Linked DNA regions of Sus scrofa. The protein of the gene in region 2 interacts with the protein of the main gene of each other region in a pairwise test. Links are inferred from orthologs where the notes say so. Each region holds a gene or a part of one and is shown on either strand. Other genes may lie near its edges.

Region 1 (3,749 bases), on a different chromosome or scaffold from region 2:
GGGTGTCGCTTCACTCAGACCCTTCTGCCTCCCTCTTGTAAGGACCCCGGTGACTTCAATGGACCCACTTGGATAATCCATGACACTCTCCCCATCTCAGGATCTTTAACTGAATCTCATCTCCAAAGTCCCATTTGCCATGTAAAGAAACATTTTCACAGGTATTAGGCATTCGCATGTGAACATCTTTTGGAAGGCCATTTATTCTGCTATCACAATCCACATTATTTCTCGTTGCATTTTCTCCTGTCTCTCTAGATGTTCCCTTTTGTTCAAAATGTGTTTATTTCTTCCTCTATCACTTACTCTCGCTTAATCAATTGATCCGATACTTGTTGTATTAGCTATTCCCTGAAAGCTGTGGCAGGAGTGTGGGGTTTTACAGTATGAAGGGTGGACAGGCCTGGTCAGCCATACTGGAAGTTCTGTTCAAGTTAATGTCCCCCTACCTGTCACTTCCCACTACTTCATCCAGCAAAACTACTTTCCTTGTGCTCTGAGCAGTCCTAAAGTAAAGTAACCCCTGACAGGATGCCTCCTGACTCAGTGTTGCTCAGCTGATGGTGTATCCTGAGCATCCTCACTGTGTCCCACTCCCGGAAGTGTTCATTATTTTATGATAAGAAGCCTCTGAGCTTCCTCCCCCCCCCCCTCCTCACCTCTCGGAAAATGAAGGAGGTGAGCCCTCCACCTCACCACTCCCTCCGTACCCAGGCCTGGGCACGCACAGAGGCCACAAAGGATCTGAAGCGAACGCATGAGCCTCTCCCCCTCTTCCCGCAACCGGGCTCTGGGACCGGTCGGGCGGGTTCCGACAGCTGGGGAATTAACATGTCCCGCCCATCCCAAGCCTTGAGCCGCGCAGGCTCCGCGCCTCCGCCCTTGTTCCCTCGCGGCTTCCAGCTCCTACGAGTGAGAGCCGCTACAAAAGGCCTGAATGAAACGCATGTGGGTTTAGTGAGTCGTAAGCCACCAGGGGATCCCGTCTCCCTACAAACCAGCATCTCTTGCAGGAGGCAGAGGAGGGGGAGGCGGCAAGGAGGGGAGCTCTCGGCTTCGCCGGCGCGCGCAGCGGCTGGAGCGGCGGGGAGAGGCCGGGCCACCTCCCCCTTCCCGGCCATGCACCGCCTCGCCCGCGGCGGTTCCAGGCACCACACTCTCCGCCCGGGCTGCGCCCGCTGTCGCCGCAACAAGCTCCTGCGGCTGCCGGCACCGTACATCGAGGATCAGCGCCAGCCCTCTCCGCCCCACCCCCATCACCGATTCCCTGCTCTTCGGGGACGCGCCGCCCAGCAGCCCGCGCCGCCCCCTGGTCAACTTTGAAGGAGAGGAGAAACAACTTTGGCAGTGGCCGCGGGTTTCGAATCCCGTTTCTTCTCGGCCTCAGTAGCCTCGGGAGTCGCAGGGGTTAGGTGGGGCAAGAGTTTCCTGGGCGCATCTGCGCGGCATCTGGCTGTTTGCAACCTGTTTCCAGCGAGCGGGAGCGGGATTGTGCCTACTAGTCATCTGAAGGATGGGAACTTGTTTTTCTTTCCCTTGAGCGACCGCGGCTTGCAGCTGGAGAACGCAGTAACCAAAGGACATAAATAGGCAGAGCAACTGTTACCAAGAAGGCTACCACCCCAAGGCAGGGAGAAGCGTGGGGCTTCGTCCGGGCTGTACCCAGTTGCTACATTAATCAACAATCAGGTGTTGTTGGTTGCAAGTTTTCAAGGTCAGCCACCGGGTACAGCGAATCCCTCTCTGAACCTTGGAGATACGCAGCGCTCGGGGTAGATGTGGCTGAGAAATGCACGGATGCCAAACGACCAAGGCTTGTAGAGGGGGAGGGTTGTGACCCCCCCAAGCCCCATCCCCCAACCGCCCGGTAATCTCCGGTTCCTCGCTGCCGGGGCGGGGGTAGTATGTGACATGTGTCTAACTCTCAGCTGCAACTTGGGCAGCAGGTGTCGGTCCTAAGCAGGAGCCACCGCCGCCGGGTGCGCCCTCGCCCAGCCATGCGGGCCCCCGGCGCACCTCTCGCCCGCACCTCGCGACTGCTGCTTCTGCTTTTGCTCGAGGTTTCTGCTTCTCCTGCCCTCGGGTCCGCCCCTGCGCCCAGGAACGAACATTTTCTGGGGGAAAGCGGTTCATCTACACGGATCCAGCGTCGCAGCAGGGACGCCTGGGGACCGGGAAATTCGGCAGGAGACCTTCTGCCAACCGGTGCGCCCATGGAGAAGGAGCAGGCGGCAGCGGTGCTCTCAGCGCCCTCGTGGGACCTACTGGAGGCCAGGCGCAGTGACCCAGGTGCGGGCAGAGGGGCGGGGGCGGCGGCGGCGGAGCCCTCGGGACCTCCCGGCAGGCCACCTGGCGCCTGGAGGTGGAAAGGTGCCCGAAGTCAGGAGCCCCCTGAAACTTTGGGGAGAGGGAACCCCAGGGCTCTCCAACTCTTCCCTCACACCGCAGAGGAGAAGGATAAGGGTCCCAGAAGCGCTGGCATTTCCGGGCGCAGCCAGGAGCAAGGTGTGAGGACAGAACCCGGAGCCGGCGACCTTTATTACTGGCCAAGGAGAACCGGGAAACTCCAGGGTTCCCACCACGACCCCCAACCCAAGATGGTCAATGGACCATCATGGCACGAAGGGCGGACAATTGCACCTCCCGGCAGGGCGCTGGCTCAGAATGGGTCCTCGCTTGAAGGAGTTCACGAACGCGGGGGTCCCCGCCGGGGCAACAGCACAAATCCGCGCTTGCAACTGAAGAACCCGTTCTACCCGCTGACCCAGGAGTCCTACGGAGCCTATGCGGTCATGTGTTTGTCGGTGGTGATCTTCGGGACTGGCATCATTGGCAACCTTGCGGTGATGTGCATCGTGTGTCACAACTACTACATGCGGAGCATCTCCAACTCTCTCTTGGCCAACCTGGCTTTCTGGGACTTTCTCATCATCTTCTTCTGCCTTCCGCTCGTCATCTTTCATGAGCTGACCAAGAAGTGGCTGCTGGAGGACTTCTCCTGCAAGATCGTGCCCTATATAGAGGTATGCCTTCCCGGGGGTCTCAAGCTACTGGCTTTATTCCTTTCTGGGATTTACAGCATCAAAACTGCTGCTCCAGGCACCTACCTGCCTGCTGAACCTCTTCACTTTTTCTCTGAGCCCCTCCCCTATTTCTCTTGCCAATCATTTATACACATTTTGGCATTTATATCCTGGGCACAGGGGTGGACCCAAGCAGTTTGGCCACTCACCTTCAAACTCACCTACTCCTGAATTGTGAAATAATTATGAACTCGTAATATATGGGATTGCTTAGGTTTTAAATTGATCTCTCTAAATATGGTTTTGTATATTTATGATTTGGAATCTGTTGGAGATTCTAGGGTTAATAAGTAGTCCGTCCATGATTGTCATTACTAGAAAAAAAAATGTGTATTATTTGTCTGCTAGGTTTCTAGTGCTCCAACAGGATTTCTTCCCCAAGAAGATTATTACATTTTTTCTTAAATATCAAAATTGGAGTAATATTTTATTTAACAGAGGATATCTGCTTTTCTTTGTTTGGCACTTGACCTCAATATATTAGTAACATCCCAAATTAGTTTAAGCGTCTTTGGCTGTCTGCCATGCCACGCCATCTAAATTCTTATGTCGTTTCTATTTCTCTTTTTTATCCCCTTCTCAATTTTGTAAGAATTTTATATACTTTGTATGAATGGGCCTAAGCAAAAATAACACTTTGTACATCATGGCACAGAATTTATTTAA
Region 2 (3,749 bases):
TGGAGTCATTTGTACTACAGTTCCTCCCCTGTGAATCAGTGCTATCATCGGGCACAGTACCTTGCCGGTGTGCACAGCCTTCCGGGCCTGGGGGCTCCTCACACAGCCGTTCGCTGTCTTTCTCCTCCCCCAGGTAACAGCCACTCTGTTCCCCTGTGTAGTCAGTCCTACCGTTGCTGTTGCTGGAGCAGCCGTTCCCATAGGCCTTCAGGGAAGACCTGTGCAGGCACAGAAGCTCCTGGAAGGCCATCCTGAAATCTGGACTCCGGCAGTAGATGAGGGGGTTGAACGCCGAGTTGACGTAGCCCACCCAGTTTAGCAGGATGTAAACTTCCTTGGGGATGAGGTTGTCATGGATCCCGTGCACAATGTTGACGATGAAGAAGGGCAGCCAGCACAGGGTGAACGTCCCCATGATGATCCCTAGCGTCTTGAGGGCTTTGTGTTCCTTCAAGCAGAACTTGGAGGACCTCCGATGTCCCGGCCCGCTCCGCCCATCCTGCTCCGCTTGGCTGAGGTTCTGGGCGTGGAAGCGGCCCTCAGACTTGTCGATCTTCTGGAGCTGCCTTCTGGCTACTTGAAAGACCCTGGAGTAGACGAAGACCATGACTACCAGGGGCAGGTAGAAGGACACGATGGAAGAGGCGATGGCGTAAGGCTGGTTGGTGAAGAAGTCGCAGCAGGCCTCCTCTGCATAGCAGTTTAAGGCTTCCCGGTGGGTGGCCTGGTACCAGTGCATCTTAATGGGTAAGAAGGAGATAAGGCCCGACACGACCCACACCATCAGAATGACCACCCGGGCCTTGTTCTTGGTCAGCAGGCACTGGTACTTGAAGGGGGACGTGATGGCAAGGTAGCGATCCACGGCGATCACGCACAGGGTCTCAATGCTGGCCGTGACGCACAGCACGTCAATGGAAATCCAAAACTCGCACCAGAAACTGCCGAAAGTCCACATTTTCATGAGGATGTGGCTGGCCCCAAAGGGCACCACCGCCAGGCCCATGACCAAGTCAGCACAGGCCAGGGAGGTGATGAAGTAGTTGGTGACCGTCTGGAGACGCTCGAACTTGGCGATGGCTGTGATGACCAGCACGTTTCCAAACACGATGGCCAGGACAATGAGCGACATGACGATGGCCATGCCCACCACCCATGCCTCGTTCCGCTCCTGTGGGACGTCCTGGTCCGGCGCATGGCTTCCGTTGGGCGCCAGCAAGAAGACGCTGCGGTTCCCGGGCTGCCCCATGGCGCGCAGGCGGGCAGGTGAGCGCGCTGGCAGCCGGCGCACCCGCCGCGCCTCAGCGGGCCGACCTCCGGCGGGGGGCTGCGGGCAGCGAGCGGGCGCCTAGAAGCCTCATTCAGCGGCCGTGGGGTGGGTGTGGAGGGGGCGCGTGGTGCACTCAGCTCCCGGGGTGCTCGAGGCTCGCAGTGCCGGCGGGTCTCTGCCTGCGCTCCGGAGAAGCCGCCTCGGAGTGCGCGCTGCCCGTTATGTGCACAGGACTTGAGGGGAACTGCCCTCCCCGTGACGTGCTCCAACTTGGGACCAATGGCGCGCGGGAAGCCCCAAAGGGGCGAGGCCCCCCCCCCCCCCCCCGCCCCTTCCCTCCCTCTCCCGCCTCCTCCTGGGGCTGGCCCGGGCGGGGCCCCGCTGCTCCCTGCCGGCCGGTCGCCACTCCCTCCAGGCTACCCAGGCTGGCCCCAGGGCTGAAGCTGAAGTTGGGGGGTGCCGCTTACCAGCGAGCTGGGAGCTGCGCAGTCTTCTGTGGCTGCTACCTGCCTGCCCGGGCTTGTCGTGAGGCCTGAGGACCCTGGGCAGAGGGTAGTGCGCAGGCACTCCCTCCTATTCGGAAATAGACGAGAATGAGAGTGCCCGCCAGGACACGCACGGACAGGCACAATTCACCTGGCAGACGTGCACGGACTTAGACGGAGCCACAGCCACCGACACGCAGACACACCCATCCAGCACACCGACAAGCACACGCGCGTGCGCGCACGGACACACACACACACACAAGCAAATCGGCGCAAAGTCAACCTTAACTAACGCAGAGACGTGGTCAGGAACAAACCCAGCAGCACCCAGAACCACAAAGTCATAGGCACACACGAAAAGAAGTAAACAACACACTAAGGGCCACGTGGAGGCAAGCCGGGAGTCACAGCCAAGGACGTCCCCACCCATGTTCTACAAACCCTTCTCCGGCACCCTGGATCTCCGTCCTTTCCTCCCCAGCATGCGGACATTTCGCATATTCCCTTTCAAACATTTGGCGAGACCTCAGGAGGTGACTTCAGCAGCTGCCCATTTCCTCAGCTCGCTCGCTGTCAAGGACTTTCGGTGCTCTCCTTGGGAATCTGCAGGCACTGAGACAGGCTTTTACGCTTGGGATTTCATTCAGACCTGGGCTATCCATGCGTGTGTTTGGGGACAGAAAGAGAAAGTTGTATGCTTTAATTTTAATTCTAGTGAGTGTGGCATCACTCCTTCATTATCTGTTCAAGTGAAAATGTACTGAAAATAGAATAATTTTTCTTTGAAGCTCTACTTCATTCATGCCTGGGCAACTAGAAAAATCATCTGCTGGGTAGTTTGGTGATCCGAGCCATATGAAATTGCTGCTATTCTATAATCTCTGCTTCTAAAACATGGCAATTTATTATGGTTCACATTACTAAGAATGTGTAACATTAAAAATGTTTTGAGGCGTTCCCGTCGTGGCGCAGTGGTTAACGAATCCGACTAGGAACCATGAGGTCGCGGGTTCCATCCCTGGCCTTGCTCAGTGGGTTAACGATCCGGTGTTGCCATGAGCTGTGGTGTGGGTCGCAGATGTGGCTCAGATCCAGCGTTGCTGTGGCTCTGGTGTAGGCTGGCAGCTACAGCTCCGATTAGACCCCTAACCTGGGAACCTCCATATGCCGCAGGTGCAGCCCAAGAAATGGCAAAATGACAAAAAAAAAAAAAAAAAAAAAAAAAAAAAAAGGTTTGAAACCACAGAAAGGAAAAGGTATTTTTTCTTAAAAAAGTCAGACCAAGCTTCAGACGAGGTCATTTTCCATGAAATATTAGCCTTTGCATCTGGCATGTGACTTCACTGTTAAAAAGAAATTAATTTTCAGGGTTTGATTTTTACATGTATTAGTAGTGTCTTTGAAGAACTGAAAGTGTTTCACTCAGTGTAACCAAACATATTTTCTAGATTACATAATAACTTAACAATGGCTAACATTTATGAAACATTCTGCTATGTGCTTTTCATGCATTATTCCATTTCATCCTTCCCACAGTCGCCTGGTGGTGTGTGTGCTGGGGTGGGTGGGGCGGATAGTTATTTTTAATTTAATTCACAAAGGGGGCTGGAAGAGGAGAATAGCTTGCCCACAGGCACAGCCTGGCAATGCCAGGCAGGAGCTGAACCCAGTTCTCCCTGATTCTAAAATCTCTTTTTTAATCCTTTCAATGTACTGCTTTACCATGTGCAGAACAGAGTGGAGGGTAGAGAAGGATTACAACTGGAATTGGAATACTGCATTCCAGTTTCTTTCTAGCTCACATTCCTTAGGCAAATCCAAAATCTGGAGCCTAATTTCCTCTATGTCTAAATGTGCAATAAAGTTGCTTCTTTTGAGCTAAATGAGAACCAAATGATGTAATGATAAATGAGATAGTGCTTTTGCAAGTAAAAACTTCACTCAAGTAGGGTTATAAATGAGATTGATATAAATTACTGAATAGTCCAGAA
Region 3 (3,649 bases), on a different chromosome or scaffold from region 2:
AGAAACTGAAGATCAAGGTCGTAAAAAAAATGATTATTTTGTACAATTTCCGCTATTCTATATTATTTAGCCTATCTGCAATAATCCCCCTCCATCTATGAGTTGAACTTACTTCTCTGTTTTTTTTTTTTTTCCCAGCCATCTCCAGAATTTCAGTTCCAATATTCTAAGTTATTCCTTTTGGAGATAACTAGAATATGCAAGGGCTTAGGGACTAGACAGAAAGGAAAAGGTAAAATATAAGGCAAAGTAGGGTTTTGCAATGAAACCTTGGGAGGAACAAAGGAACAAAAGAATATAAACCTGGGGTACATTCTCGTGACTCCTGTATGAGCAAGGGATCAAATGTCTGTCCAGGGAAGCAAAGCCAAGAGCTATGGTAGGAAATTGTCAGGAGGCTCAAATAAGTCCTTAACGTGGGAAGAGGTTGTATTTGAATAATAAAGTCACTCAAGATACATTTTTACTCTAAACAACCCACTTACTCTTTGTCTCTAGAATCATGATTCCCAGAAGTAAATAACTAAAATCACAAAATTTTTAAAGTATTAGATATTTAGAAAAAGGATCAGATTTTTTAAAGCCTTAGTATGCATATTCTCTGCAAAGCCAAATCAAAGTATAAGCAACCTGCTCAAACTGTGGGGTTCCTGAAGCTCCCAGTAAGCAAGAAATGATAACGGAATCGCAACGACCATGACACCACCAAAAAGTCACAGTCATCTTACTGTGACTGCAGTCATTTCACTTGAGTGAATGTTAAGTGTACACACACAAAAACATTAATAAATTCAAATGTGACCTAAGATCTTTAGGGCTTTTGCCACAAATTCTCCTACCCTGGGGCATTGCAAATAACTAAAGTGACAGTTAAAGAAGGCTTCCTATTATTTGTACTTGGTAAGAAAACATAAGCAGTAATCTCATTTATCTTTTTAACACAAACACAAATACTTGCCTGGAGAACAGTATTTGCCAGCCAGCTCCGACCTTTACTGCTGCTCTACCCAAGTCTTTTTTAGACTAAGCTCCCCGGATCTCAGTGACAGGAAAGATTATACCAATTTCATAATAATGTTCACACATCCTGCTCACTACTGAGATTTTAGTGTTAAATTATTTTAGAACAGAATTTAGCCTGTAGGCCTGAATTTTCAAATGATTTGTTCTACTATAATTTTAAACATAGTTGAAAATTTCAATTCGAATTACTTCACATAACACAGTTAATAAATACCACGTTCGTGTCAGGCGACTCCATTAACATGACCAGTAACACTAGTAGACCCCTGAATCTGTTAGCTCCCTAGAACAAACCTTCTGCTTCTCCTGTTTGAACACACTGAGTCCCCTGGGCTCACTCTTCGTGCTATAACTGGCAGGTGCTGCGACTGTGCTGGTGGTGGTGCTCAGTGGAGTGGCAGCCAGAGCAGTCCCCGGCGGGGCGGTACCCTGAGAGCAGGGGAGACAAGGCTCAGGTTCACACCAGACTCTGACTCCTCCTGCGTGGGACTGGGAACGACTAACACAGAGATCATTAGGCTCCAAAACATTCATGGGAGTCTACAAAAATGCATCACGCTTAAGAAATAATACATAATAGCTATGTTAAATAAAGCAAAAGTACATTCTGAGTTTTATATAATATTTCCCAAACAAAATCAGCTATGATCAACTTGCATTATGTTCACTACCTAAACGTATATTTTTAAAAAGGTATTAAAACTTATGCAAGCCTCATTTTGTCCTAAAATGAATACCTTCTGTGTGGCTCTTAATTTTCGTTACTAATCAATACTTGCCAATACCTGAAAAACAAGCATTTCATATTTTCTTACCTTTGATAACACTCAACCTGAACAATTTTGAAGTTAAATCAATTTTCTCAAGGGTTCAAAAATCAAAATGATTTATAAATGTCTCCCAACACATCCTCCCAACACACCCCCCCTCCCCACTACCTACCTCCCAGGATCAATAGAGATACATATTACATACTAGAATACCATTATTATCTCCACAGTTTTCTTATCTTCTAAAATTCCTTTAATACACAAAAAATATTATACAAAAAGGTTGGAACAGACTCTGAAATAATACTTACTGATATTCATATCACTGCACATAACTAAGAGAATTCCATCTTACGTAATACTGCACTGGCCCAAATCTGCTCTTTGTGGCAATAGAAAATAACGTACATTTAATCATAAAAAGTCTCTATACATGGGACCCTGAAATTTCCTATTCTTGACAGTCCTTCAGTCTTCATTAAGAAAAATCAGTTTTTTCTAGAAAGTATGTAATTAGTAGATGTTAAATGGAGGGCATTTAAAACTTGGAAAATGTACACTGTAAGTCAACCATACTTTAATAAAAAAAAAATTTTTAGAAAATGTCAAGTAGAATTGGTGGCCTAAAATAAACTCAAAAATATTTATTTCAACCTAAAGAAGTGAACAGGTAGATAAATCATAAATAAAAAGTTAGTTAAAACCACACTCAATCTTGAAAAAATACCACCAGTAATTGGACATTAGATTTCACAATACAGAGTTGATAATAACTGAAAAGGACTAATAATTCAGAGAACTCTGTAAAATATCAGATAGTCAACGCTTTGGTATCATCTTTGCCCAGCTATCAACAGCCCAGGCAATGTGCTGAATGGCTCTCAGGAGCAGCACTGAACAAACTCAACTGACGTCTGTGGGCCATTAACATCTAGTCAAAGAGCTGCTCTTCCCCAGGATGAGGGAGACCCCACATTTTAGTGCCTAAAGGTAGTGTTGTCCAGGAATAATTATTAATAGTACCTCCTTTTACTCTAAAATAAAAGGGTCTTTTTGGACTCCTAGGTTACTCAACATATGATCCAAATCAGAGAGATATTTCCCCAAAGGAGGCCATATTCTAATGACGATTCAAATATATAAATAAGTTCAAATCACACACAAAAAAATGACTTCTTTAAATTATAAAAATAAAAACAGACTCAACCACTATACTTCTAAAGCTGGCACATTTCTTACCCTATAAGATGACCAAGAACTTTAATCATCTTGGCTACACATTCAGTATCGAAGTCCTAAAAAACCTAAAGAAATCAACAACATAATAATATACCCTTTCCAACTGTTTTTAAAAAGACTAAATTAAATGCCCAAGAACAGAATACCTAAAAAGACCCCGATCCTCAAAGAGGTATGGTATTTTTACCTTAAACTAAACGCCTACTTCTTTTGGAGGGTATGGGGAGGTGAGTGAGAGTGGGATGGGGCACTTCGCATAAGAAACACTGAGTCAACATCACCAAGTTTAAGACTTGCTACCTGTGACTGACTGTGAGAAGGCATCAACAACTAGGACAGCTACTGTGTGTCTATCTGCTTTGGGTACTAACCACACTTTTCTAAGTCGACAACAGAAGGTCATAAATTCTGATGATTAACTCCTTAGAGTAAATGTGCAAAGGACCACTAACTCAACAGGAGCGTCTCTGCTGTGCTCAACTCTAAGGCTGAACACAGAGTGCATGAGCCCTCTGGAGAGAGCTGCGTCCTAAAGCACAAGTTGTCGCCAACAACTTAGTTTAAAACTAAAGTTTGCTTAAATTAACACTGTTTAAAACATTTTCATTAACAAAAAA

What was found.
Region 1: the proteins of ADRB2 (region 2) and GPR37 interact in a protein complementation assay, tested with the Homo sapiens proteins (2 studies listed by BioGRID and IntAct, with this or other methods). The link is inferred for Sus scrofa from reciprocal best matches to the Homo sapiens genes ADRB2 and GPR37.
Region 3: the proteins of ADRB2 (region 2) and VAPA interact in a protein complementation assay, tested with the Homo sapiens proteins (2 studies listed by BioGRID and IntAct, with this or other methods). The link is inferred for Sus scrofa from reciprocal best matches to the Homo sapiens genes ADRB2 and VAPA.

Annotation. Positions count from the first base shown.
Region 1 is NC_010460.4:23,018,594-23,022,342, forward strand, and holds the start of GPR37 (prosaposin receptor GPR37), read left to right. Parts: upstream 1-1,158; 5' UTR 1,159-1,997; coding exon 1,998-3,023; intron 3,024-3,749.
Region 2 is NC_010444.4:150,031,296-150,035,044, reverse strand, and holds the start of ADRB2 (beta-2 adrenergic receptor), read right to left. Parts: upstream 2,397-3,749; 5' UTR 1,738-2,396; intron 1,483-1,737; 5' UTR 1,250-1,482; coding exon 1-1,249. UniProt on the Homo sapiens protein: Beta-adrenergic receptors mediate the catecholamine-induced activation of adenylate cyclase through the action of G proteins. The beta-2-adrenergic receptor binds epinephrine with an approximately 30-fold greater affinity than it does norepinephrine.
Region 3 is NC_010448.4:98,219,688-98,223,336, forward strand, and holds part of VAPA (vesicle-associated membrane protein-associated protein A), read right to left. Parts: intron 1,453-3,649; coding exon 1,318-1,452; intron 1-1,317. UniProt on the Homo sapiens protein: Endoplasmic reticulum (ER)-anchored protein that mediates the formation of contact sites between the ER and endosomes via interaction with FFAT motif-containing proteins such as STARD3 or WDR44.